Arabidopsis thaliana: one gene and its partners. The protein of the gene in region 1 interacts with the protein of each later gene in a pairwise test. Each region holds a gene or a part of one and is shown on either strand. Other genes may lie near its edges.

Region 1 (5,851 bases):
TGACCGCCGTTATGTATCCGCCGGCGCTCAATTACTTTCACCGGATGGTGTTTCCCGTCTCTCCACCGACACATCACACGAGTACCCACTTCTAGAGGAAGCATCCCCATTTTCCTCTTCTTCGACGGATCCGACTCTATAATAGCTTGATCAGGAGTTAAAGGAGGAGGAGGAGGATGAGACCCATCAACGCCGTTCGTAGCCGGAGGCTTTTGATTCGACGACGGTGGCGGTGCGTTGCCGTTGGTTTCTGTATTCGCTGACGATCCCATTTCTCGGTCGGGTCGGAGATTCCCGGGTGGGCTTTCTTTCTCATACGAGTAAGAGAACTAGAGAGAGAAAAACGGACACTTGAAATAAATCAGGCCCATTAGTAACTTTTCACATAATTGGGCCTATATTTATGGGCCGTTAAAAATATTGATATTTAATGGTGTGAAGTACATACATTTTCACCGGGATCACAGTTTATTCATAAAATTAGAAAGTTGTTTGATCATGTAAGAATTATCTCGAATCACATTGAAATATTTCTGTAGTAAAACGAATTAGATTTGAAAATATATGAATCATACCCATGGCTATTTAGTGACTATTAATGCATTGTTTGAGCTAAATAATTTGGTTAGACGTTAAGTTCTTGCAATTATCTCTAGGATGTGAATGAATGTATAACTATGTGGCAAAAAGAAAGAAAATATATTAAATGATTTCGTTAGCAAAATGGATATAGCTAGGTTTCCATGAATCTCACTGACATTTCATTGTGTCTTTATTAAAACCTATGAATGTGAGGAGACACAAAAGTCAGCGGAAGTATCCATGAGTGAAGTGAACAAGGAGCATAGGTTTCCTTGAATTAACCTCTCTGCTACTTTTCTGAGATTTTCTGACCAACAAGTGTGGAGCAAAGCTCTGGTGGTTTAATGCTTGTTTGTAGTCAAAGGTTTTCTTTTTATTATTGGGAAGGTAAAAAGAGATCTTGCAACTGTTTTAGTTGAACTTCTATTCATTAATTCGAAGACAAAACGAGCAAGTACATTTTCTCTGCACCATCCTCTTTATAATATGTCTCGATATATACTCTCTTTCTGGAGTAGAGTATCTGTATACCTTATCGGTTTGTTGTAATTTGAGATTACTTTATATTACAAAACATCATTTTATGGGATGATTGTCGTAATTTTCATTATGCTAAACGTTACTATAGCTAAACATTTTTCGTTAACATTTTTACAACAAGTATAATCGGATACGTTTAGTCTGTTAGACTTTTTAGTTTTCAGGTGATGTTTAATCGGATACTAACAAGTATAATCTAATAGACTAAACGTACGGATATTATTTTCATAACAACTTTTTTCTTTTTGGATTTTTCGTTGCTAGTTGTGAAGCTATATATTAAAAAAAAAGCCCTAAAGCTTATTGTAATTTAGGAATTCTTAAAGCTTATTCTAATCATAACAAAACGATTTTCAATATGTATAGGTATTAACGTTCAAAGTGAGGTATGTACGTAAAAAGATGAAAATGAAGCAATAGAGTACATTCATATTATATGCTCTAAAATATAGTACTTCACAAATATATGCGTTGTGTGTATACAAAGACAAAAGTCCACAGTAATGATAACACTATTTAAATAGGGTTCTTTGATGGCGTCATGGTTCTTATGCCCGAAAAATGCCCGGCCAAAACTTGTATACAACCAAACTCCAAATCAAGAACTTATTATTATATACGAAATGATAACATAATATTAAATATATGGTGGTACACAACTCAAGCTAACCGTTATGATTATTCCACAACCTTTTCACGGTCAACAACAATATATTATATATCCTAACAAACCCTTATTTCGTATCCATTTTTATTATATATAAACACTTTCCATAATTGCACCATTACTCACACATTATAGCATAATTTAGTTACTACTAATGGAAATGTCATCTTGTCTAGATTAATTCTCCTACTCCTCTTCCCCCACGGCCGAAACTTGGCGGTGGTGGCGGTGAAACCCATGACGTCGTCACCGCCTGAGAAGCTTGATCTTGCGGCGGCGGAGGAGTATATCCGGTATTATTATTGAGTAGCCGGATCTGCCGTTTCAAGAACTTGACATAGCGTATAGCTTCATCGAGCATTGAAGCCGTATCCATTTTAGTGCCACCTGGCACGAGTCTCTGAAGAATTCTGATCCTCTCACTGATTCTCTCACGGCGATGTCTAGCCGCCACACTCTGAGGGTCGTCGGAGATCCTCACGTTACGGCGTTTGGGTTTCTTGACGGTTGCTGGGTCGATGTCAACCGATTGCATGGCTGCGATCTTGTACATCATTTCCTTCATAGCACCGAGTTCCTCTAGAGGTTCTTCTTCGTCTTCGTCGTCTTCTTGATCTCCGGAGAGAAGAGTGGTGGTTGTGAGGGAAGAAGAGAGAGGAGGGAAATGAGAAGAAGAGAAAGGATTGAAGATATGGAGCTGTGTGTACTGGTCCATGGCCATACCGATTGGATCATTATTATGTTGATGATGATGATCATCATTCTTGTTGTTGTTGTTGCTGCTGTTGATGATGTTGTTCCAAGTGTAATTTTGGAAGAGAGATGGGTTCATATTATAATTATTCATAATTTTTGTTTGTTTGGTTCGTAAAAATTTTAATGCTTGAGGCGATGCTTATATGTATATATATATGTGTGTGTGTGAGCATATATATATATTAAAGGAAAAAAAGAAAGGTGATCATATGATGAGGGGTTAGGTTGGTGATGCAATTAAGGATTTTGGTTCGGAGAAAAAATAAAGAATAATTTTATTTATATGTATCTTTTCAATAAGTGGACGTCACTAGTCGTTACCAAAGAAAAAGATTAAATTGTATATAGTTGAATAAGAAGTTTTTTTATGCTCCGAAAATGTTTATAAACGTTGTAGCACTTTTGTATACATATAGTTGGCATAATCGCTTTTTTTTTTTTTTTTTTAATGAGCAGCTCCAGTTGACTAATGAGATAGTTTTGAGTTGGCTAGGGTTTCCCTCTCCCACATTGAGACTTGAATTTAGGGTATATCGAGAAAGTGGCTTTCACCAAAGTAATAAACTAATAACCACTAGCTATAAGAATGTGAATTACTTTATATGAACATGAGTTTCTCTTTGATTCACAAAAGATGTCACCACTTGTGTGCTCTTATTCTGACTTCTCAATTTACAATCCCTTTAATTATCTCCTTCTCTCTTCACAAAACCCATTCACTAAAATAGGAAATCTTGATAAATTTTCTCTCATTCTCTTGTCTCTTCACGAAATAGCACATTTTGTTGATCCTATACTCTTATCCCGATCAACGGTCGTGATTTTCTCTCTCCCCTCGATGGAGTCCAATATTGAATGTAAATTGTGTGTGAAACTCGCAATGTTATATATTATTATAAAACAAATGATCAACTTGCTTTTTTCCACAAAGCTATTCTATAACTTGCGACGTGATTAAAGGTTTATAAGGATAACAAACATCAAATCACTCGCATGGGGACACCTTAGCTTCTTCAACATTTGGGTGTTATCCATGATTGTCATTAATAAGAAAGACGTGTATCATCGTCGTGACTCGTTTATATAAGACGGTGGTGAATATATCATTTTCCATGAAGCAATTTCTGCTTTTTATTAACAAAGTTCACATCTACGTAACAACGTTCTTGTATACAAGTGTATAAAACAAACACAAATCCGTAAAATACACGAAATTTTATGAGACTTCAAAAGAGGCAAATTTATATACGTTGTTTCGATCCGTTTATACAAAAATCAGACGGTTCTGATTTAATGTGACAAGTTTCTTATGTCATATGCCTCAACACAAAAGCAATGTATAAATACACATGTATATGTACATATATGAGATATAAGCGTATATTTTGCACATATGTTATGATTTGGTCTGCATTATAATCATACAAATTGCGCATGCAGGCTGCAATCATGCATTATAGGGTTACTTCTTTGGTATTAATCCATTGTTCACTGTATATTATATTCTTATTAAATCCACCCAACTGCCAACTACATGTATGAACATCTACTTATACACACACAAGTTTTGGAAATTAATTTGATTCGATATAAGTATACACTATATAGTTTTCGCATTTATAGCGGTTTAAAATGAAAACCGCAATTAAAAGAGTAACTGTGTATTTAATATAATAGCTAGCATTCGATCATATTATTAAAGTATATAACAGTCATGAGCAAGACTTATAATATAATATAGTTTAGTTAAAAGAAGTTTTATTTTGCCATGTATTTTATATAATACAAATTCGGATGGATTGGAGCAATGAACAATTTTTTTATTGCCTGATCATAAATTTAGAGTGTTTTTTAATTAAGTCTATTAATATTTTTCATACATGTGAAAGTTAAATGATTCATTTTGGACAGCTAGTTTCTAAATTTCCACAAAAACATGTAAAATAATAGAATATATAAGACACATAAATTTAATTTACTTCTTAAATCTATGATTTCATTTAGAATACATATAGTATTTTATTATTACTTTTTCCTTTTTGGTTGTATGTACATTTCTGCAACTGTGATGTGAAATATCATAATGGTTTATAAAGCTTGTATAATATGTTTCGAAATGTATACCGAGTTGTAATAAACAAAAATTGAATGCAATTGATTTACTAAATCATGTTTTCTTTTAAGCAAATTATCACTAGCTTATCTATTATGATATGGTTTAAACATGTGACAGCTCAAGCGGCCCCCATTTCGTCTGTGTATAAAGTGTAACCGTAAACCCTAACTAGATGAATCTAGTGTAAATGTATATAGTACATATACACGTGAGTGGGTGAAATAACTATGCAACATTTTCCGATGAAGATTGAATCATAAAATCTGACAATCTCCATTATTTTCATCCAAATTATCGCGTACATAAAAAAGCATTAAATAACTATATATATATATAGGCCATACATATATAACTATTTTTTTCAGCAATTGTGCTTCTTCCTCCTTTTTATTAATAGCGATACAATCTTCCGTCTTTGTGCGTTACGATTCCCAAAGAACCACACCCTCATTTCCTCAGAGTCTGGTCTCTTACAGCGACTTCTCTTTTTCTTTCTTTTTTGGATTTCCTCTTTCTGCTTCCACCATGGAGAAGAACAAACAAAGAAAAACTCAGTGTTGTTTCTTTCCAAATTTGAACACTTTGTAATCTAGTGATATCACTTTATCTTACTCCAATTTCACCGGTTAGGTTTGGTCATTAAAAATGATCAAACCAAAAAAGAAAATGTATAAGTAATCACCAGTTCACCACTTGGCTTAATTCATCCAAAAATAAAATTTCAAATTGGCTATATATCAAGTTAAGAAAAATAAAGCTAGACGAAAAAGGTAGGATATATATGCGTTATTGTATTGATTTCTATAACTACGAGGGTAGATTATGTGTTATAATATTAGTAATGATGCTAAGTTTTTTAAAATGGAGTAGCAAAAAAAAAAAACATGTTTATTTTTTCTCTTTCGCGAGAGGATCTAAAAAGTCTACAAAAAAGTGATTACAAGGCATGGGAAGCTGCAGTGAAGAAAAGTGAAGAAGTCTCTTGTTTGGTCCGAAAGTGTTAGTGTTATGGAAAACTCTTTAATGAGTTTTTCACTTTATTTTTCTTTCTCTTTTGTTTTTGAGGGGAAGAATATTACACATATGAAATTGACTTCGAGGGTTTTCATTTTCTTGGATTATTGCAGGTACAAACGTATTTCCAGTATCCATGCATAGACGCATAATGCCGTATTGTAGCTACATACACG
Region 2 (5,676 bases), on another chromosome or scaffold:
CTTCTCCCATGCGTCTTCCGATGATTTCAACCTCCAAATCTCTTGGATGATCTTCTTATCCCCTTCTGTTTCGTACATGCACAAACTATTATCTATAATGCACATGTCAATATGGCTAGGCTCTGAACTAGCAATAAGGCTAGGCTTAGGCAGCAACCGAAATATTTCGGTGTGAATATCCAAAGCTATTACTTTGATTTCTGCATTATATGTTTCCGTGAACCAATAAAGCGTCCCGTTTGCAGATGCTGGCTTTTGGTCATGATATATTCGATAACTTGGTATGCAAGTCAAGTATCTCCAAGCGTTTGCCTTAAAATCAAAAACCTCGCACTTAGTAACTCTCGAGGCATCAGAGTTATACAACCACACTAATTTGTAATCAGTGGCCTTCACGAATGCTAGATGATTGACTGGTATCATGTCTCTCAAAGTATCTAGAGTGGGGTTTAACTTGTGCATAAAGATCTGAAACCTAGCCGGAGGAAGTTGTCGGAACCAACGTGTTGCTGGATTAACTACATATATGTCTTGTGTTTTTGGGGAATGAATGCAGAAAATTCCGTCACAGCTTTCAGAAGCGTAGATGGGATGATGGAATCCGCGAGGGAAATTGAAAAGAGCAGAGGATAAAAAACTAACTGATTCCAAAGAGATAGTCCTAAAACTAATCTCTATGTCTGGATTCCATTTTTCAGTGATGATCATGACTTTTGGATGATCCACATGTGATCGCTCGGCTATTTTCAAGTGCCTCTGTGAGAAATAGCAAGACTCGAGCGTCGATCTCCATTGTTTTGAGAGAGACTTAAATCTCATTAGGGCTTTGACCGGAAGTTTCAAGAAGATTTCTTCTACGACATCGTCTGGTAATGATGATGATGCAATCATTAGCTTCTTGTATCTTCTCTTTCTTTGTGATGATGATGATGATGATACAATCGCTTGCTTTTCTTCATCCATGACCATTGTTTTTCTTCTTCTTATTGATACGAGTGAATTGGTTTTGTCTTTTTATACACACACTTATCTCCAAATTCTACTCTGTTAAGGATTGATAAGGATTAGCCGGTTATGAAAAAGGAAGTTTATCATCCCACAAAATTTATGTTTAAATTAAAATAATAGAAAAGGAAATAAAAGCCAATTTCGACTAAGGAAATGGAAATACATTTTTTTCAGAAACAATTTATTTATTCTCTAATTTGAGTGATTTTAGCAAAAACGAAAAAAATACAAGATTTGCTAACAAACAATTCTGATTGGCTAAAACTAAAACCAAGACCCAACAAAAAAAAAAAAAAAAGACACTAGAAACGAATTGAAAGTTTGAACCTATATGAATTCGGTTTTCAGCAGTCTTGTTTAAAACACGTCTCAAGATAAGTTTTATAGAATCAATTATCGAATAGTTCTTCTCTATAGTGGAGAATACTCGTGAGATAAAACAGTAATAAGTCAAATACAGAATCAGATCCTTTTAGTGACTTGCTTCGAATTTGCGTTCTTAAGGTTCTTCTTGTTTTTGAGCTCTAACAAAAATAATTTATTTATTTTCATGTATAAATATTAAAACTGATTATATAGAGAGACAGGTGATAGTTAGCAGTGAATGCTCGTTGGTACAACTCCTCATTCTTCTCCGCAAAAATAGCAAGTTATTTAACAAACAAAAAAATTCATATAAACGATTTTATTTTTTTGTGACTTTTGAGATTCGTTAATTCTGGAAAATTTGTTTATTTTCAAAACAAGAATATGGATTCGTCATAAAAGCTAGGCTATGATCAACATGTTTCATACAAACAAGAACAGGGCTTTTCAAGAAAGTAGCATTCTCTGTTTCTGTTGTCTCAATCCCTTTTGATTTTTTTTGTGTTGGCAGATTCATCAAATGTCGGTTCTTTCTTCTCGGACAGGACGAGATCGTCAACGTTACGACAACAACTTCCGTCTCGTTTCTGGGTACCAACAACTTACACAACAAAAAATCATTTTGTTTTGTTTTTTTGTTTCTTGCAAATCTTGAAAATTTTCAAGAAACCCCAAAAATCAGAAAACAAAATTGTTGATTTTCTTGTTGTTTGTTTCTCTATACATTATGAACAGATGCATTCCTTATAGGCTGATGAAAGCTGACGAAACTGAAGAAGACTCAGGTGTTGACTTTGTAAACAAACTTGAAGTTCTTATGGTTTCATCTCCTAATCGTCATGATCTTGTCTTCCCAAAGGTCTTTTTTTGAATTGAAAAATCATCCTCTGTACTATCATTTGTAATTGCTCATGTTAATTTGTTGTGTATATTATTATCAGGGAGGATGGGAAGATGATGAGACTGTTCTTGAAGCTGCTTCTCGTGAAGCCATTGAAGAAGCAGGAGTTAAAGGAATACTTAGAGTAAGTTTACACCTTTATTAAACAAAACACTAAGAAAGCTATTTTAAAGTTTTTTGAATTAGATGTGTTTTGGTCATGTTTTTGTTTATAGGAACTTCCTTTAGGAGTTTGGGAATTTAGAAGCAAAAGTAGCACAGTGGAGGATGAATGTTTAGGTGGATGTAAAGGATATATGTTTGCATTAAAAGTTACCGAAGAACTCGAGGATTGGCCAGAGCGAAAGAATCGTGAACGAAGATGGGTAAAGCTTAAGATTCAAATGTGTAGTTATTCATATAAGTAAGTACAATGTTTTAACTCTGAGATTACTCGAAAATGTGCAGTTGACTGTTAAAGAAGCGTTGGAGCTTTGTCGGTATGAGTGGATGCAGAGAGCACTTGAAGAGTTTTTGAGAGTAATGGAAGATGAAAGAAGATTGAGAACAGAGGAAGAGACAGTGCATGATTCTTCAAAGCTAGAGGAGGAGAGTCAAATAGATCCTTGGTACTGTTTTGTAGTTAACTAGTTTTTCATATTCTTTAGCTAACGTAAACAAATTGAAAAAATGAGAAGTAAAGTGACTGCAACACATGTGACATGATATAATCTCAAATCATCTGTCTTGAATCTTGATATCTGTCTGTTTGAAGTGATAAAGATAGAGTTGTCTTTATATGCAATTGGGACACCAAATGCAAAAAGACAAAGGACATAGAAGAAATTACCTAATCACACACAAATCAATGCTTAAGGCTTGACTTCAAAATCAACTGAATACACTTAAGAATCCAAATCCCTAAGCTTATGTCACATGTTTAGTTAGGTTTCTTGACATTTGTACAGTTTTTGTCTGAGTCTATAATGACAATGTCCTTGTCACAACTTGGCTTTGCTCCATACATTCCTTAATATGAATCACCTCACAGACTAAAGTGTGGAAAATATTAAGCAAAAGGACAAAAATAGAGAAAATATGAAACACTTCCTTGTTTCTGCTGACACAGTTTACGAAGGAGAAATAAGTCTTTGGAGTTAAATTTTTGAACTCCCAACAGTTTCCTTAAATTTAATGCCAAATCCAAAAAGGCATCAATCAAGTTCACACACTCTTTTGCTCTTCTTACTCAATATAGAGTTTATATAGCAGCATAAGGAACCTCAAAGCTCAAGAGACTTAAAGAGAGAGAAACATTGATCTCTGAATATTGTGAACATGTTGAAATCAAGTAACAAGAGAAAAAGCAAAGAAGAGAAGAAGTTACAAGAAGGGAAGTACCTTGGAGTGAGGAGACGTCCATGGGGAAGATATGCAGCTGAAATCAGAAACCCTTTTACTAAAGAAAGACATTGGCTTGGAACGTTTGATACAGCCGAAGAAGCTGCTTTTGCATATGACGTTGCTGCTCGATCCATCAGCGGCTCTCTAGCTACAACAAACTTCTTCTACACTGAAAACACCTCTTTAGAAAGACATCCACAACAGTCTTTGGAGCCTCATATGACTTGGGGATCTTCTAGTCTCTGTCTTCTTCAAGATCAGCCTTTTGAAAACAACCATTTTGTTGCTGATCCTATCTCTTCTTCTTTTTCTCAAAAACAAGAGTCTTCTACCAATCTCACTAACACTTTCTCACATTGTTATAATGATGGTGATCATGTTGGCCAAAGCAAAGAGATTTCTTTACCTAATGATATGTCAAACAGTTTATTCGGTCATCAGGACAAAGTCGGTGAACATGACAATGCAGACCATATGAAGTTTGGCTCAGTTCTCAGCGACGAACCTCTCTGCTTTGAGTATGACTACATTGGGAATTATCTTCAGAGTTTTCTCAAAGATGTCAACGACGATGCTCCACAGTTTCTTATGTGAGCTTGTATTACCGATCCTTCAATTTATGTAATATAAAAAGTATTGTATCTTTCTTTAGTGTCAAATGCATTCCCAAACCAGAGTTGTGTATTAAGCAGAGGATGTAATATGTTTGAATCAAGTTTATTACTATAAATTATAGAGCACAAATACATAATAAACTCAGGAACTACAATTATACATTCCGAATCATGTAACAGTAAAAAATAATGGAGCAGACATCAAGAGGTTGTTGAGTCTTCACTTCCAGTTATTGGCAACAATGTCAGCCAAATCAACGACTCTCTGTGAGTAACCCCATTCATTGTCATACCAAGCAATCACTTTAACCATATCATCTCCCATAACCATTGTGAGGGAAGAATCAATAGTGGAGGATACATCAGAGCACCTGAAGTCAACAGAGACAAGAGGCTCATCACAGACGTCAAGGATACCTTTAAGCTCTTTCTCAGCTGCATCTCTGAAAGCAGCATTGACTTCTTCAGCAAAAGTTTTCTTGGAGACTTGCACGACTAAGTCAACCACTGAAACGTTTGGAGTTGGCACACGCAATGCAATTCCGTTAAGTTTTCCTTTGAGGTTAGGAAGCACAAGAGCCACAGCTTTGGCTGCTCCTGTAGATGTTGGAACAATGTTCAAAGCTGCTGCTCTTGCTCTCCTTAGATCACGGTGGCTCGCATCTAACAACCTTTGGTCACCAGTGTATGAGTGAGTAGTTGTCATTGTACCCTTTATGATCCCTAACAAGTTTAACACACAACACAATATTACTCAGATTTTTACAAGATTGCAACATAGCAACATTTGACTTTCAATGAGACGCTTACCAAATTTCTGGTCAAGAACCTTGACGAATGGAGCGAGACAGTTAGTAGTACAAGACGCATTGCTGATGATCGTATCTTCATGGCTGTAAAGTTCAGCATTGACACCAACGACATAAGTTGGGATGTCACCTTTTCCAGGTGCAGTGATAAGAACCTTCTTGGCTCCAGCCTGAAGGTGCTTCCCAGCACCGTCTCTGTCAACAAACACTCCGGTTCCTTCGATAACTAAGTCAATGCCTAGTTCCCTAAACATCATCACCAGGTTTAGATCTAACTGGGTTGATTCAATTCAAATGATATGAGAAGTGTTGTTTTAACTTACCCCCAGGGGAGATTAGATGGGTTACGATCAGATACAATCTTGATGATCTTTCCATCAACAGAGAGAGCTGAGTCTCCTGAAGGTTTGACATCAGCGTCAAAGATTCCAAGAGTTGAGTCGTATTTGAGGAGATGTGATGCTTGTTTAACACCACCAGTGTCGTTAATGACAACGACATCAAGAGGAGAGTCCTTACGACCATGCCAACACCTCAAGAAGTTCCTACCAATCCTACCGAACCCATTGATGGCTACCTTTATCTTGGCCTCGGT
Region 3 (6,683 bases), on another chromosome or scaffold:
ATTCGATTTTGATAGATGCATAGATTTTTTGAAAGATCATGGTTAACAAAAAAAAAAAAAAGAGACTCAATAGCTCTTTTGTGAGCCTGTTCTAATTAAATATTATGAAAACGGGAAAATAGATTATACTCAATCGCATGATTGCATATCTCTTGCGCATGGGGGATGTGAAATGAAATAAATTTGAACCGATCGTTAGCAATAACATAAGAAATGAGAAAGAAAGGCAAAATCAAATCTATTTCGAATATAATTTTTTGTCAGAAACATCAAACATGATCAGATCCCACCGTTGGTCCTTTGTTCAAATTGACAACAAAAAGTATGACTTTTATAAACCAAAAAGAGAGAGATCTTCATGGCAAAACATATCTTGCCCCCAGCACGATTGATTAGTTCCAAATTTAGCAGCCCACTCGAGAAAATTAAATAAAAAAGGAGAGAAACACTTGCTTAATATAGAAGTTTCTTTTTGGAAGAAAATAAAAATAGTGAAGCCCCCTTTTTGAGCTTGTTGACATTATAAAAGCCAAAGCTGGACCACGATTCCCCACTTCTATCAATGTAATCTATTTTTTCTTAAGAACATAAAAAGATTTTTAAATAAATTGATGGGAATCGTTTTGTTTTTTATATTTATACTACTATCAAACAGTATAAAAAACAAAATGTACACAACAACATTGAGAAACTAATGGGGTCTCACGTGTCCATGTTCCCATCCACATAGCCACGGACGGGATTTGCTTTCTAATTTTCCACATTTCTTTAGGCCAAACCTTTATAAATGGCACTTGATATTTGCTTCTTTAATTTCAATCTCTTTTTTTTTTTCTTTTTTTTTTGGGTGTTTTTCCCGTTGTATCCATTGCATTTAGAAGAAAATTGTTGAGACCACTGATTTTCTTCGAAAAAGAACTTCAGCAATGAAGAGTTTGTTTTATGCACGTCTTTACAAAAAAAAAAAAAACTAAGAGATTATGACCTGCATTGAAGTGAGAGCACTTGAGAAAACTTGTGTGTGATGATTTGGAAAATAGTTGTTATAGATAACTAATCATATATTGGTATATATGGATTCCTTTGAAGAAATACTGGTTTGATTTGAACAAAAACATTTGTTACGTATGATTAAACATACTTTTCATTGCACGGTGATACGAAATTTTGATTCAGTTGAATTAGATCAATGTAGTTTTGAGTTATATTTTTTATGTTTGCCCATTCGTTAGTGATATAAAACAAAGTATCATCAGTATATAGCTAGTTTCGAGATAGTATGTACAACTTTTAAATATTAATTACCTATGCTTAAATAGTAATAGTATTATGTATGTGCATGTGCTTTGTACATACAATTTTGTCTTCTTGTTGATTAATTATTAAACAGCTCGAAGTTTTAAGACTATGTAGCTTAGCCTATGTCAATGTCATCAATCTATATGCAATATATATAGAGCCTCAGGCACATAAACCGTAGTCCCCATATAAAAAAGGGAATGAAACAGCTAATAACTCCATAGAGAATAAATTCACATTCAAAGCAAATTCACCACCCCAATCTTCTCAATGGTTCGGTTTCTTTTTTCAATTCTTACATTGTACTAAAAGCTAAAAATTCAGACTGATACGATACGAATAGGTTTTTGAAAATATAAAAATTAATCAATTTCCATTAAAGGGCTGAATAGCTAAAAACTCCATAGAGAACAAGTCGCTTTATTGGATTTAGATTTTAAAAAGACGGCGCTCGTGAATTATTAAAGTTTAAACTAAGATAAGATTTAAAGAGATTTAGAGGAGACGTAATCTGGTGTATATCGTTCACATAGAGTCACGTCACTGTATAATCCATCGACCACTAAGGTTTTAGAGTTTAGTTTCAAATCTTACTTTTTCATGCAGGTGTACCGTATGTCACACAGATTATAGTAGTCGCCAACTTACGTTCCCAATGGGTGATAACGGCGTCAACGTCCTCCGTCACGATCGTGTCGTAAGCTGTACACTGTATAGGTTCCGTGAACCTTAAAATCGGATTTGGAAAGCTACGTACGTACGTAAATATTGGTTAAAAAGTTCAAACAGTTTTGATCTCTCTTTTATTACAAACAAACTGTACTTCCGACAATTTTCTTTCTTTCTATTTCAAGTACGTTTTCGTGTCTAACTATATTAACATCTAACTTCTGACTTTTATACTCTGATGGGACAATCTTTAATTCTTAAATTCTAAGTTGTACCATGCGAATGGATATTAGATTTTGTCAGTACAATTGCTGACTATGAATGAAGTACTCTAACATCATTATTGGTTCCTGAATAATGAGTACTTAAACAAAACAAATTTGAAGTAACGTAACCATGACATATTAGATCCATGTCCCCTAAAACGTATTAAAATTATTTCCTTACGTCGTTAAATTTCGAATCTAGTGTTAAATTGTTACATTGGTTGTTAAACTACCGACCCAATAAAAAAAAAGAAACTAATATTTATGATTGGTGCATCTTGTTGTAAATTGTAATCGTATGGCCTACCAGCGATTTCATTGTCCCCAACATACAGATATTTTTGTTCGTGTGTTATAAATTAGGGTAGAAACATCACATATTTTACAGAGACAAAGAAAAAAACAAGAATCGTAATAAAATGATATTATGGATACATGTAGATTATAAGATGAGAAATAATAATTTGTCACGGGTCCATCAGTATACTCGTCAAAATTGATTAGGTAGGTAATTTACTTCACATGCTCTTCCTGTATACAAGTATAAAGTATGTATTTTCATCTAAAATCTACTCTTTTCTCAATTACATTTTATATAGAAAAATTCATATTCTTAAGAAATAGTAGTAAAATTGTTCTTGAAAAAAAATATGAAAAGGCATTTTCCGTGACTCAGCCTCACAGGCGGCTTAAAACGACGTCTTTTTCAATTTTAATAAATTTTTGGTAAAAAAGCTTTTGGATCCGCCGCTATCTTCAGCAATTAAAGTTGGACGCAGAAACTCAGAAGCAAAAAGACGATAAATATTCATCATCACCTTCATCTCTCTCTTCCTCTCATCAGACTTCACCGTTCTTCTTTCTCTCTTCTTCATCTTCAGACGAAACCTCCTTTACTTCCCCTTCAAGGTTTTATATTTCCCAAATCCTACACCTGCTCACATCTCAAGCTCAAGTTTTGTTTTCCCGGGAAAAGTGACACAAACAAGAACTTAACAAGGGAGAAGAAAAAGCTTATATTCATATCAACGGTTGACGTTGGAAAGCTATTAAGATTTGGTTTTCTACAAATTTGTTCTTCCTGAAACGTCACGAGACAGAGCTTACAAGAAGAGAAAACAGAGGAAATTTCGTTGCATTTTTTTTACATATTGATTCGATTAATGGATTCAAATAATCATCTCTACGACCCGAATCCCACCGGGTCGGGTCTTCTTCGTTTTAGATCAGCTCCGAGCTCTGTTCTCGCCGCTTTTGTTGACGACGACAAGATTGGTTTCGACTCCGATAGGTTGCTTTCAAGATTCGTGACCTCTAATGGCGTTAACGGAGATCTGGGTTCACCTAAATTCGAGGATAAGTCTCCGGTTTCGTTAACGAACACCTCTGTTTCATACGCCGCCACTCTGCCGCCACCGCCGCAGCTTGAGCCGTCGAGTTTTCTGGGTTTGCCGCCGCATTACCCGAGGCAGAGTAAAGGGATAATGAACTCGGTTGGTTTGGATCAGTTTCTCGGTATCAATAATCATCACACCAAACCAGTTGAATCTAATCTTCTCCGTCAAAGCAGCTCTCCAGCCGGAATGTTTACTAATCTCTCTGACCAAAACGGTACCGTTTTGCTCTCTGCTACAAAGTTTTTCCCCCTTTTTTTAGTCTGAAATATTTTTTTCATTTATAACAGAAGTGTTTTTGGTACTTCTTGATTCAACTTTTTTGAATGTTTTAACACTTGCTTCAAGATTTTTGAATGTTTTACGTTCCTTGAGAATAATTTTAAGACAAGATCTGATTTGATTTTGTCAACCATAGAGTTAAAGCACTTTGGACTCAACAAATCTAATAAGTGTTTACTATATACTTACAAATTTGCAGGTTATGGTTCAATGAGGAATTTGATGAATTACGAAGAAGATGAAGAGAGTCCATCTAATTCCAATGGATTAAGACGCCATTGCAGTCTCTCTTCAAGGCCACCTTCTTCACTTGGAATGCTTTCTCAAATACCTGAAATCGCACCCGAAACTAATTTTCCATATAGCCATTGGAATGATCCATCCAGCTTTATTGATAACTTATCCTCACTTAAAAGAGAAGCCGAGGACGATGGAAAATTGTTTCTCGGAGCTCAGGTAACTCGGTTATCTAACCGGTTTGTTTTGGTTATTGATCAGTAGCTGAAAGTGGAGTTGATTTCTTGGAGTGGTTTCTAATGATGTTTTTGATGGGTTTCTACAGAACGGAGAGTCCGGGAATCGTATGCAGTTACTGTCGCATCATTTGAGCCTACCAAAGTCATCATCGACAGCCTCGGACATGGTTTCAGTGGATAAGTATCTTCAGCTACAAGATTCTGTTCCTTGTAAAATCAGAGCCAAACGTGGTTGCGCTACACATCCTCGAAGCATCGCTGAACGGGTAACTTCACCTAGTTAAGGCCATCTTTACATATATCAATGGAAGTCCATTTGAAGCAGAATCTAGTTTGTTTTCAGAAAGCCTTTCCTAAGAAATCTTGTCAATTGTGTCAGGTAAGAAGAACGCGGATAAGCGAGCGAATGAGGAAGTTACAAGAGCTTGTTCCTAACATGGACAAGGTACAGTTTTCAGGAACTTCCTTGTAATGACTTTTGATCATAAACAAATTGTTAAATGATGTTGTTTTCTTTATGTTTTAACAGCAAACCAACACTTCGGATATGTTGGATTTAGCTGTGGATTACATCAAAGATTTACAAAGACAGTATAAGGTAAAGTTCCTGATCATTGTGGAAAAAAAACAAAGGGGCCTGTTTAGTCTTCTGTTGAATTGATTTAGTCTTCTGTTGGTTTTACACAGATTTTAAACGACAACAGAGCTAACTGTAAGTGTATGAACAAGGAGAAGAAGTCAATATAGGGCGCAACAAAGTGTGTAGTAGATAGGACTAAAAAGCAGGGAGAAGGACAAGAAAGAAACAATGTCATGTCTGAATATTTTTTAGCCGAAACAGACCAAATTGTCTATGTAAGCTCTCGAGAAAAGCATCTGCTTCCAACAAAATTCTAAGTAATAAAATAGTACTCGATTTGTTCTTATTTCATTATTACAATGCAGAATCTACTAATCAAATGTTGTACTACAAAAGGTAAGATCAACTACGGTAGCTAAATGCGAAAATTATGACCAGAAGAACAAAGAAAGACTCGAAAACTAAGCAGAAAACATAAATTATTCTTCCATGTGATCTGCAGCGTCAGAATCTTTGATATCACCAGTAAGACTACTCCTGGTCACAACCAAAGTAAGAATCACACATGAAGTAGAGTGTATACGACTTCTCTCCTGGTTCAGTTGGTACTGCAAACTCCAGCTACGATGCAGAATCTAGTAAGCAAATGTTGATATTACAAAAGGTAAGATCGACCACAGTAGCTAAATGCGAAAATTATGACCAGAAAACAAAGAAAGACGCGAAAACTAACCAGAAAACATAAATCATTCTTCCATGTGATCTGCGGCATCAGAATCTTTGACATCAACAGTGAAAGAATACTCCTGGTCACAACCCAAGTAAGAATCGCACATGAAGTAGAGTGTATACGACTTCTCTCCTGTTTCAGTTGGTACTGCAAACTCCAGCTTCACCTGCGCCTTCCGTTGCAGGGAGATTCTCTTGATGGCCATCAACTGGTTCGTCTTGGCTTCTCCAACGACTAGCCACCAACCTTCTTCTTTAGTCTTAGGATATCTTGGCGCGTCCACAGGTCCCACCTCGGTCCTTCCCTCCATGTCTCTCTCCAGTAATACCTGCAATGTGATATCTTTTCCAGGGCTTACCTCGTTACTTCCCACAATCTCATATGTAAGGTCAATGTTGGGGAAGCGGTTGCAGAATCTGGCAATGTCAAGAAGCTGAGCGTCTGACATTTGGAGAAGCTCTTGGCGTTTGTCATCTTCCATTTCCACAAGATCAAATATGGTTTCAATGTTATTCCCCGGATTCTCATGGCACCTTTTGGCTAAGTCCTTTGTGAAGTGAGGAAGCTGCAGAAGCATGGAGTCTCGATCCCACATGCCTTGAGTCACCATCTGGCTTACTTCCATAGCTAAAAGAGCAAGATTCAGACAGCCATTGCTCGATATCACATCGACCATTGCTTGAAGAAGCCTTGTTGCTGATAAAAGGACCTCACACTGATCCATTACAAGGTTCCCGCTGATTTTTTGCCTTGAGAAATGCGCCTGAAGAAGTGCGCTTGTCTTCACACGAGGGTCTGTGCATCTTGGGTTTTGAAAAGAGAACCTCTGGTGATTGATGAGTCTCCGAACTGCGTCCTCTTCACCAGGACGTATAGGAATCAAGTCATACTCCGAAGCTGAAGTCAAGATCTCAAGAAGACCCTTCATCTTGGTCTTGGAAGCCAAGAGAGAACTGAATCGCTCAATGGTGGTGTAATTTATGTAGT
Region 4 (7,285 bases), 3.8 Mb from region 1:
ATTCGTTTACGTGCAAGTATATATACTTGTTGGGTTGATTTTTCTTGAATACGACCTGAATTGGTACAACGGACCCATGCAAAGAAAGACAATCGAGCCTAGAAATTTCTGAACAATTATCGACTTATCCATATAAATGCTATAAACACCTAATATCTCATCCATATCCACATTTAACACTTTGTTTTTTCTAACATTAGTATGCTACTATTCTTCGATGCCTTAATATCGGATGGTTATTATTAGGTAGTTATATTTAGTCTGAACACTAAATTTTATAATCATTACCCAAAAAGTAATTAGTCACGTTTTTTACTTGATCTAAATTTACAAATGTACAATGTCTTTACGCGCTAAAAATAACAATTGTGGACAAAAAAAACTTAGCAGACAAAATTGACCACAAGTGATAATATCTAAATTTGGATTTGTTCAACGACACAACACGTAACGCGTCTTCCCGTATCTTGCGTATGACTCCTTGAGAGCCTCTCTTTAATTGTCCTATAAATATAAGTCTCTCTTGCAAGACTTTTGAAACCACAACAAACACAAAAATCAAAAGGGGTCATTTACTATCTTTTAAGAGACGACATATATAGTTCTCGACCAAGAAAAGAAAAGGGGGTGACCTGAGTTCTTCAACACATAACATAATGGCCGGAGTTTTCAAAACGGTTACGTTTCTTGTTTTGGTTTTCGCTGCCGTTGTTGTCTTCGCGGAGGACTACGATGTTGGTGATGATACGGAATGGACGAGACCTATGGACCCCGAGTTCTATACTACTTGGGCTACCGGTAAAACTTTCCGTGTAGGCGACGAGCTCGGTGAGTTTTATTGTTCTTATAGCTGAAATATGTCTTTGTTTTTCTTGTTCTTATAACAGTCATAGTTATGGGATCGTGCATGGATCATGTCGGTGTTGTTCTGTCTTTCTTTCTATATTCTTATGAACATATTTTAGCTAAAAAAGGGATTAATTGAGTTTCCACCGACTGATGTTGATATTCTTATTACAGAATTTGATTTCGCTGCTGGGAGGCATGATGTGGCAGTTGTATCAGAAGCTGCATTTGAAAACTGTGAGAAAGAGAAACCCATTAGCCACATGACCGTTCCTCCGGTCAAAATTATGCTAAACACCACTGGACCACAATACTTTATCTGCACCGTCGGTGACCATTGTCGTTTTGGTCAAAAACTTTCCATCACTGTAGTTGCTGCTGGTGCAACTGGAGGTGCTACTCCTGGTGCCGGTGCTACCCCAGCACCTGGATCAACCCCAAGTACTGGAGGAACCACTCCTCCCACTGCGGGTGGGACCACAACACCTTCAGGCTCTAGCGGAACCACTACTCCAGCTGGAAATGCCGCTTCCTCATTAGGTGGTGCTACTTTTCTGGTCGCTTTTGTTTCTGCTGTTGTTGCTCTCTTTTGAGTCACACTCGAAACCTAGTTATGTATTTGTTTTACCTTACTCTCCTTATTTAAATAGTCATGTATTTGATTATTTGTGAGAATAAGGACTTGTTTTCAAGTCATTATAAACGTCTTATACTTGTGATTAGTATTGAGTTTCAATATATGATTATTCGGTTGCAAAATAAAGAGTGGGTTTCAATATCATTGAGATTACTACTATATATTACCATATTTCATGAAAATTAGTCATCTTCTTCATCCAATTTGTCTAGTTTTCATGTATAATTAGACAAAATTTGCCTTCTCAATATTTTCAATCAACGAGTAAACATTACCTGATTGTGAACCGAAGTTAGAATAATATTAAAAAGACATAGGTTATCTACTAATTCAATATACCAACAATATGGTATTTTTGTTTCAGTGGATACGTTTCTCACCTGAATTCACAACTTTTTTTTTTTTTTTTTTTTTTTTTTGTGTGTGGAGATTTTTAATCTCTGGCTTTATAGTTTGATAATCGAGAAAATGCCAAAAAGTATGCCCGTACTAAGTACAAAACATAAGACCACAAAATTCCACAATAAATTGACACGTGTCTGATCGACGTGAATCAAGAAAACCATAAACTTGTTTTGTTTTCAACAACCAAAGACATTTTCCCCATAACAATGTAAGCATGATAAAGTCTAATGGTTATACCAAGGTCTTTGGTAATTACACTGCTCCTTTTTCTTTTTTTTTTTTCCTTTTTCTAAACCATCTGAATTTAACTTTATTTTATTTACTTCATTTGTCAATGTGATATCTTCAACTTTCAATAATTTAATATGTTTGATTTTTTAGTGTAGCTACGATATTCGATAAGACCTATATATGACATAGAGTTCTTGAAATAGCAAGTCTTGGTTTTGCCAAAGTAAGAACCTGTAAAAATAAAAGCAATTCTTTACAGAGATTTTTGGTTTTAAATCTACAAAGTTGCAAAACTCGTTGCTTTCATTTGATTTAATGGTTAGTTTTCGAGATAGACAAAATGGGAAATTTATTTGCAAAATGATTTAGTTGCAAAATCATTGGGACACTATCTTATTTCACGTTTTATATAATTGATGACATAATAAGATAGTTTCCCAAAGTAATTAATTGATGATATATGTGGTTGGATAAGAAATTATGGTATTATCATGTTTGCCTCTCAAATTTAAATTTAATTAATTATATACATACACGAGTAAGCTAAATAAAAGTTTGACCACATTTCATATGAAGAATTTTATCTTTCCAGATATCTAGAATTTGTTTTCTCTACACAGTTCATTGAAGAAAACATAGTACGGAAGAGACCAGAGGTTAATTAAACGACACTTTAACCTATCACGAGAGAGACTGAGATGATCAAATCAAATGAAAGAAAATAAACATCAATCACATGCAAAGAGTGTTCATTAAGCAAAATCACTAAGTTTGTTTTTACTTTATTTTATTACGTTACTTCAAGTTTTTTTTTTATCTTCTTGGTACTGTAAAAAAAGGAGAGAAAATAGAGTTGGCTATGTGTAATAAGCGAACCAAAAGCAAGCCTTCCATGACTGTGCCCTCAAGAAAGTAGCTTTGTTTTCAATCCCAAACTGTCAAAGTCTCTCTTCACCTCAAGATTAATCAAAACATTTCTCTCTCTATCTCATCAATGTTACTTTAAAACCAATGCTCCTCTTCTTGTTCTTCATATAAACCACATATCCTCTCCTCCATATCTTAACAATTTCATAGCAAACCCTAAAATTGAGAAAGAGATAGAGAGAGAAAGATGGGTAGAGGAAAGATCGAGATAAAGAGGATAGAGAACGCAAACAACAGAGTGGTGACGTTCTCAAAGAGGAGGAATGGATTGGTGAAGAAGGCTAAAGAGATCACAGTTCTTTGTGATGCAAAAGTTGCCCTCATAATCTTTGCAAGTAATGGTAAGATGATTGATTACTGTTGTCCTTCCATGGATCTTGGTGCTATGTTGGACCAATACCAGAAGTTATCTGGCAAGAAACTATGGGATGCTAAGCATGAGGTAATTTTGCTCTCTTTTTAATCTAAAGTTTCTTTGTCTCAAAAATATTCCATGGCCAAAATCATGTAATAAGTTTTCAATTTCTTTACCAAAAACATGTCAAAAGACCCTTGAATCTTTAACCCTAGATGCAGATCTACTATAGTGTTTTGTCTCAAAAACATATATTCTGAGCTAGATATCATGAAATTGGTTATTTAATTTTCTTTTCCTAAAATATGTCAAAGAGAAAGAAAAATACTCTAACCCTAGATGCAGATCTACAAAGGTTTCTTTGTGTATGTAGCCTAACATGCGTCTTTATTGATTTTCTTGTACTCAACAAGACATGGAGCCACAAAACATGGAAGTTATTCTTTTCTTTTGTTCCTGCTTAATTTGTATAATCTAGAGTATATCTAACCAACTGTGTTTTGAAACCATCAAGACCAAATCTTATGCGAATCAGATCCGTAGTTTATGGAGTTATTAATTGAGAGAAAAATCTGGGATGTGATATGTATCTGGGAATGAGAATTTCTGATTAGTACACTGATTTTACGTTTCTGGCTTTCAAAACTAATTGAAAACTTGAAAATTGCTTTTGAGTTTTGAGTATCCTTTTTAAATTAAATTTTGATGCAAATATTATATGTATTATTAATTAGCTCTGACAAATGTAGGTTTAGTTCTCACAAATGAGATATATCTCTATAGGGTAATAAGCATACAGAGGCTTTTATACCATTTAAGTCACTGCCTAGTAGTATTTGTGCATGTATATCTGTGTATGCTTTTACATATACTAATATCAATATATATACATATATGTGTGTCAGTGTGTGTGTGTGTGTTATATGCTTTGCATGAAACATGAACATAGAGAGACTTGTCATGGATTGCTTCTTTGTATATCTATATTTATGTTTAGTTTGTACAGATTACTAAGTATTTTTTTTGTTTGATCTAAATTCTTAAAACCTTTATTGCTCATCTAATACATATTTTTTGTCTCCAGAACCTTAGCAATGAGATTGATAGGATCAAGAAAGAGAATGATAGCTTACAACTGGAGCTCAGGTCATTATTCTTCACCCTTCATTGCCATATCTTTACCCTAGTATAGTATATATATAAAACATTTGATTATAATAATGTTGAAATATCAAATTGAGAAGTTCATGGAAATTGTGACTACAGGCATTTGAAGGGAGAAGATATACAGTCTCTCAACTTGAAAAATCTGATGGCTGTCGAGCACGCCATTGAACATGGCCTCGACAAAGTCCGAGACCACCAGGTATGTATACATTTCTACATACATTCATACACATGAATATATTTAACTTCTTATTTGGTCTGCTTGGCACAGATGGAGATCCTTATATCAAAGAGGAGAAATGTGAGCATATAACTAATCTTATAGTACTCTACTTCTTAGCTTTCGGATTGAAATATGTATTAATGGTTGCATCATTCTTTCTTAACAGGAGAAGATGATGGCGGAGGAGCAACGGCAACTCACTTTCCAGCTGGTATACATATAATGAATCTTCATGCATTTATAAGTTTTAATAATGATTTGGTTTGAAACTATTAGTATGTTTATGTAAAGATATGGTTTTTGGAAATTGCAGCAACAACAGGAGATGGCTATAGCAAGCAACGCAAGAGGAATGATGATGAGAGATCATGATGGGCAGTTTGGATATAGAGTGCAACCGATTCAGCCAAATCTTCAGGAAAAGATTATGTCTTTGGTCATCGATTGATCATCGAGATTTTATAATCTCATCCTGATCAACTCCTATCTATAATATCGTGGTCTTTAGTTTGTCTTTATCAATCTGTGTGTCTTAATCTCGAGCAACATATATACTCGCTATCAGACTTTTTACTTAAGCTATATGTGTGTTGTTTGCTTATGACCTCTATGTATTGGTTGTGTTGTGTGCTTAAACGTTTCGAACTAATTGATCTGTGTGAAACTTATTATTCTGTGATAAGCTATTTGTGATAAAGAAGAAGATCCTTTTCTCTTTCTAAAAGTTAGAATTGTTCTCTAACTAATTTGGAGAGAAAAAAAAAAGAAAAAAAATTGGAGTAAAATAAAAAGGTAAACGTAAAATGTTATACAATATTTTGTCTGGATACCCTTCAATAATTTTACTTTGAATAAATATGTCTTCATACAAAGAGGTTATGGTCGTAAAAATTAAAAAAATGTGGTTGAACTTTATATCTTCCCCCTTCAAAAGCCTGTATTAACAACCTTTTTTCTTAAGAAACTAAAATCTAAAAAATGTAGAAATCAGCCTTGGCCGCTCTTCTTTAAGGCTAAAGAGAATGGTGTTTATGTAGGTTATTGGGTTCTGACTAGTGACTATATTTAACGATATATGGGCCCTTATCCATTGTTGACCCATAAATACGTTTTAGTTAACATGTACAAAGACAACTTTGTAATCACTCAACCAATATTCTGCAGTTTAATCTTGCTTTCATAAAATTTCAATATTCTTTAGCAAAAAAAAAAAAAAAAAAAAACAATTTCAATATTGATGGTGACAGAGAAAATTCATCCTCAAAACATTGCTCCTAATTAATTGATATATGAGACGTGTAGAGGTTTGAAAATTTACCATGGCTTTTCGTGATAAATTGGTGACACAGAAAATCGCCAAAATAGTGATGGTAACTTGGTCAGGTGGCTACCTCTTAACCTCCAAATGACTGATTGGAGAGGAAATATTTTGGTTAATCCCCTAACAAAATGATGATGAATAATTTTAAAAATACAGTTTTAACAAAATAAAAATAAAATTATGAATATGTGTGATGATAAACATTAATAACCTGACAAACCCTTATCCGCCAACTAATGTATAATGAATGGATAAACCCATAGGGTCCAATTGGACAACAACTTTCTAACTTTTTGTTCTCTCAAAATAAAATAAAGACAAGTTGATTTGCTTTCCCAATCACTTTCTGAACCAAATCACTTGCTGCAAGCGAATCATGAATCGCCGAACATTTCGTTTTCTGTTATTATGAGTATAACAATGAAAACAAAGAAACAACAGAAAGAAAAAATCAAATAATTCGTTTTCGTGTAGGCGTGTAGCACTCGCTCTCTCTATTTAAGATTTATTTTCATACAATGAGTTTTTTTTTTTCTAGAAAACCATGGGCACTTGTGGGGCTGTAGTGGGGGCATGCAGCCGCACATTGCTCAATATCTGTTGAAGCAAGTTGATCTGCGAAGATAATATTGCCACTTGGTATATGAACCTTCTGTCCATTGCACCGCACCCAATTGATTTTACACTTTTCACAATTCTATTCAAATTATATTCTTAAGTTTTGATACATTTCTTCTTAGGTAAAAGTTACAGAAGAACCTTTAAACCAATACTTGGGTTGGGAGTTAGGACATTGACATAGATTAGTTATAACCATATAAATTATATAGATGACAATCCCATTTATTAGAATGAGAAGAGGAGATATTAAAAGTTGAGAAGAAAAATCATGCAACAGGAAAGTTTTACAAATATTGGACTAAGAAAACAATTAAATCATTAAAAGTTAAAAACAGTCAATTTTAGCTTACAAGTTGCAAGAAAACTTCTATTTTGAGATTGATGTTGAAGAAAACAATTTAGTTGGTGATAAGGTCGTCCCAATTACCCGCTGACACGATGACACGTAATACGGCCGTGGAAACAAATCTTTTAATCCTTAAAAGACAAAATATCTTTAAATATCCTTATGTGTTCCAGCATTTATCCTACGTGGCATCCTCATCCTCCCTT

Evidence for each region.
Region 2: the proteins of HEC3 (region 1) and AT1G12890 interact in a two-hybrid assay, tested with the Arabidopsis thaliana proteins (one large-scale study listed by BioGRID).
Region 3: the proteins of HEC3 (region 1) and FBH4 interact in a two-hybrid assay, tested with the Arabidopsis thaliana proteins (one large-scale study listed by BioGRID).
Region 4: the proteins of HEC3 (region 1) and PI interact in a two-hybrid assay, tested with the Arabidopsis thaliana proteins (one large-scale study listed by BioGRID).

Annotation. Positions count from the first base shown.
Region 1 is NC_003076.8:3,024,440-3,030,290, forward strand, and holds HEC3 (basic helix-loop-helix (bHLH) DNA-binding superfamily protein), read right to left. Parts: upstream 2,676-5,851; 5' UTR 2,637-2,675; coding exon 1,962-2,636; 3' UTR 1,670-1,961; downstream 1-1,669. Other genes in the region: HAM2 (histone acetyltransferase of the MYST family 2), read right to left, coding at 1-272. UniProt on the Arabidopsis thaliana protein: Required for the female reproductive tract development and fertility.
Region 2 is NC_003070.9:4,388,142-4,393,817, forward strand, and holds AT1G12890 (Integrase-type DNA-binding superfamily protein), read left to right. Parts: upstream 1-3,529; 5' UTR 3,530-3,592; coding exon 3,593-4,252; downstream 4,253-5,676. Other genes in the region: AT1G12870 (F-box and associated interaction domains-containing protein), read right to left, coding at 1-969; NUDT12 (nudix hydrolase homolog 12), read left to right, coding at 1,895-1,965, 2,110-2,233, 2,316-2,399, 2,491-2,640, 2,723-2,905; GAPA-2 (glyceraldehyde 3-phosphate dehydrogenase A subunit 2), read right to left, coding at 4,493-4,995, 5,083-5,327, 5,405-5,676.
Region 3 is NC_003071.7:17,609,878-17,616,560, reverse strand, and holds FBH4 (basic helix-loop-helix (bHLH) DNA-binding superfamily protein), read left to right. Parts: upstream 1-2,969; 5' UTR 2,970-3,397; coding exon 3,398-3,845; intron 3,846-4,109; coding exon 4,110-4,366; intron 4,367-4,472; coding exon 4,473-4,652; coding exon of another isoform or gene 4,653-4,670; exon of another isoform or gene 4,671-4,765; coding exon 4,766-4,831; intron 4,832-4,915; coding exon 4,916-5,047; downstream 5,048-6,683. Other genes in the region: AT2G42270 (U5 small nuclear ribonucleoprotein helicase), read right to left, coding at 5,713-6,683.
Region 4 is NC_003076.8:6,825,970-6,833,254, forward strand, and holds PI (K-box region and MADS-box transcription factor family protein), read left to right. Parts: upstream 1-2,934; 5' UTR 2,935-3,233; coding exon 3,234-3,488; intron 3,489-4,485; coding exon 4,486-4,547; intron 4,548-4,667; coding exon 4,668-4,767; coding exon of another isoform or gene 4,768-4,803; exon of another isoform or gene 4,804-4,839; coding exon 4,840-4,869; intron 4,870-4,957; coding exon 4,958-5,002; intron 5,003-5,104; coding exon 5,105-5,239; 3' UTR 5,240-5,546; downstream 5,547-7,285. Other genes in the region: BCB (blue-copper-binding protein), read left to right, coding at 657-828, 1,021-1,439. UniProt on the Arabidopsis thaliana protein: Probable transcription factor involved in the genetic control of flower development. Is required for normal development of petals and stamens in the wild-type flower.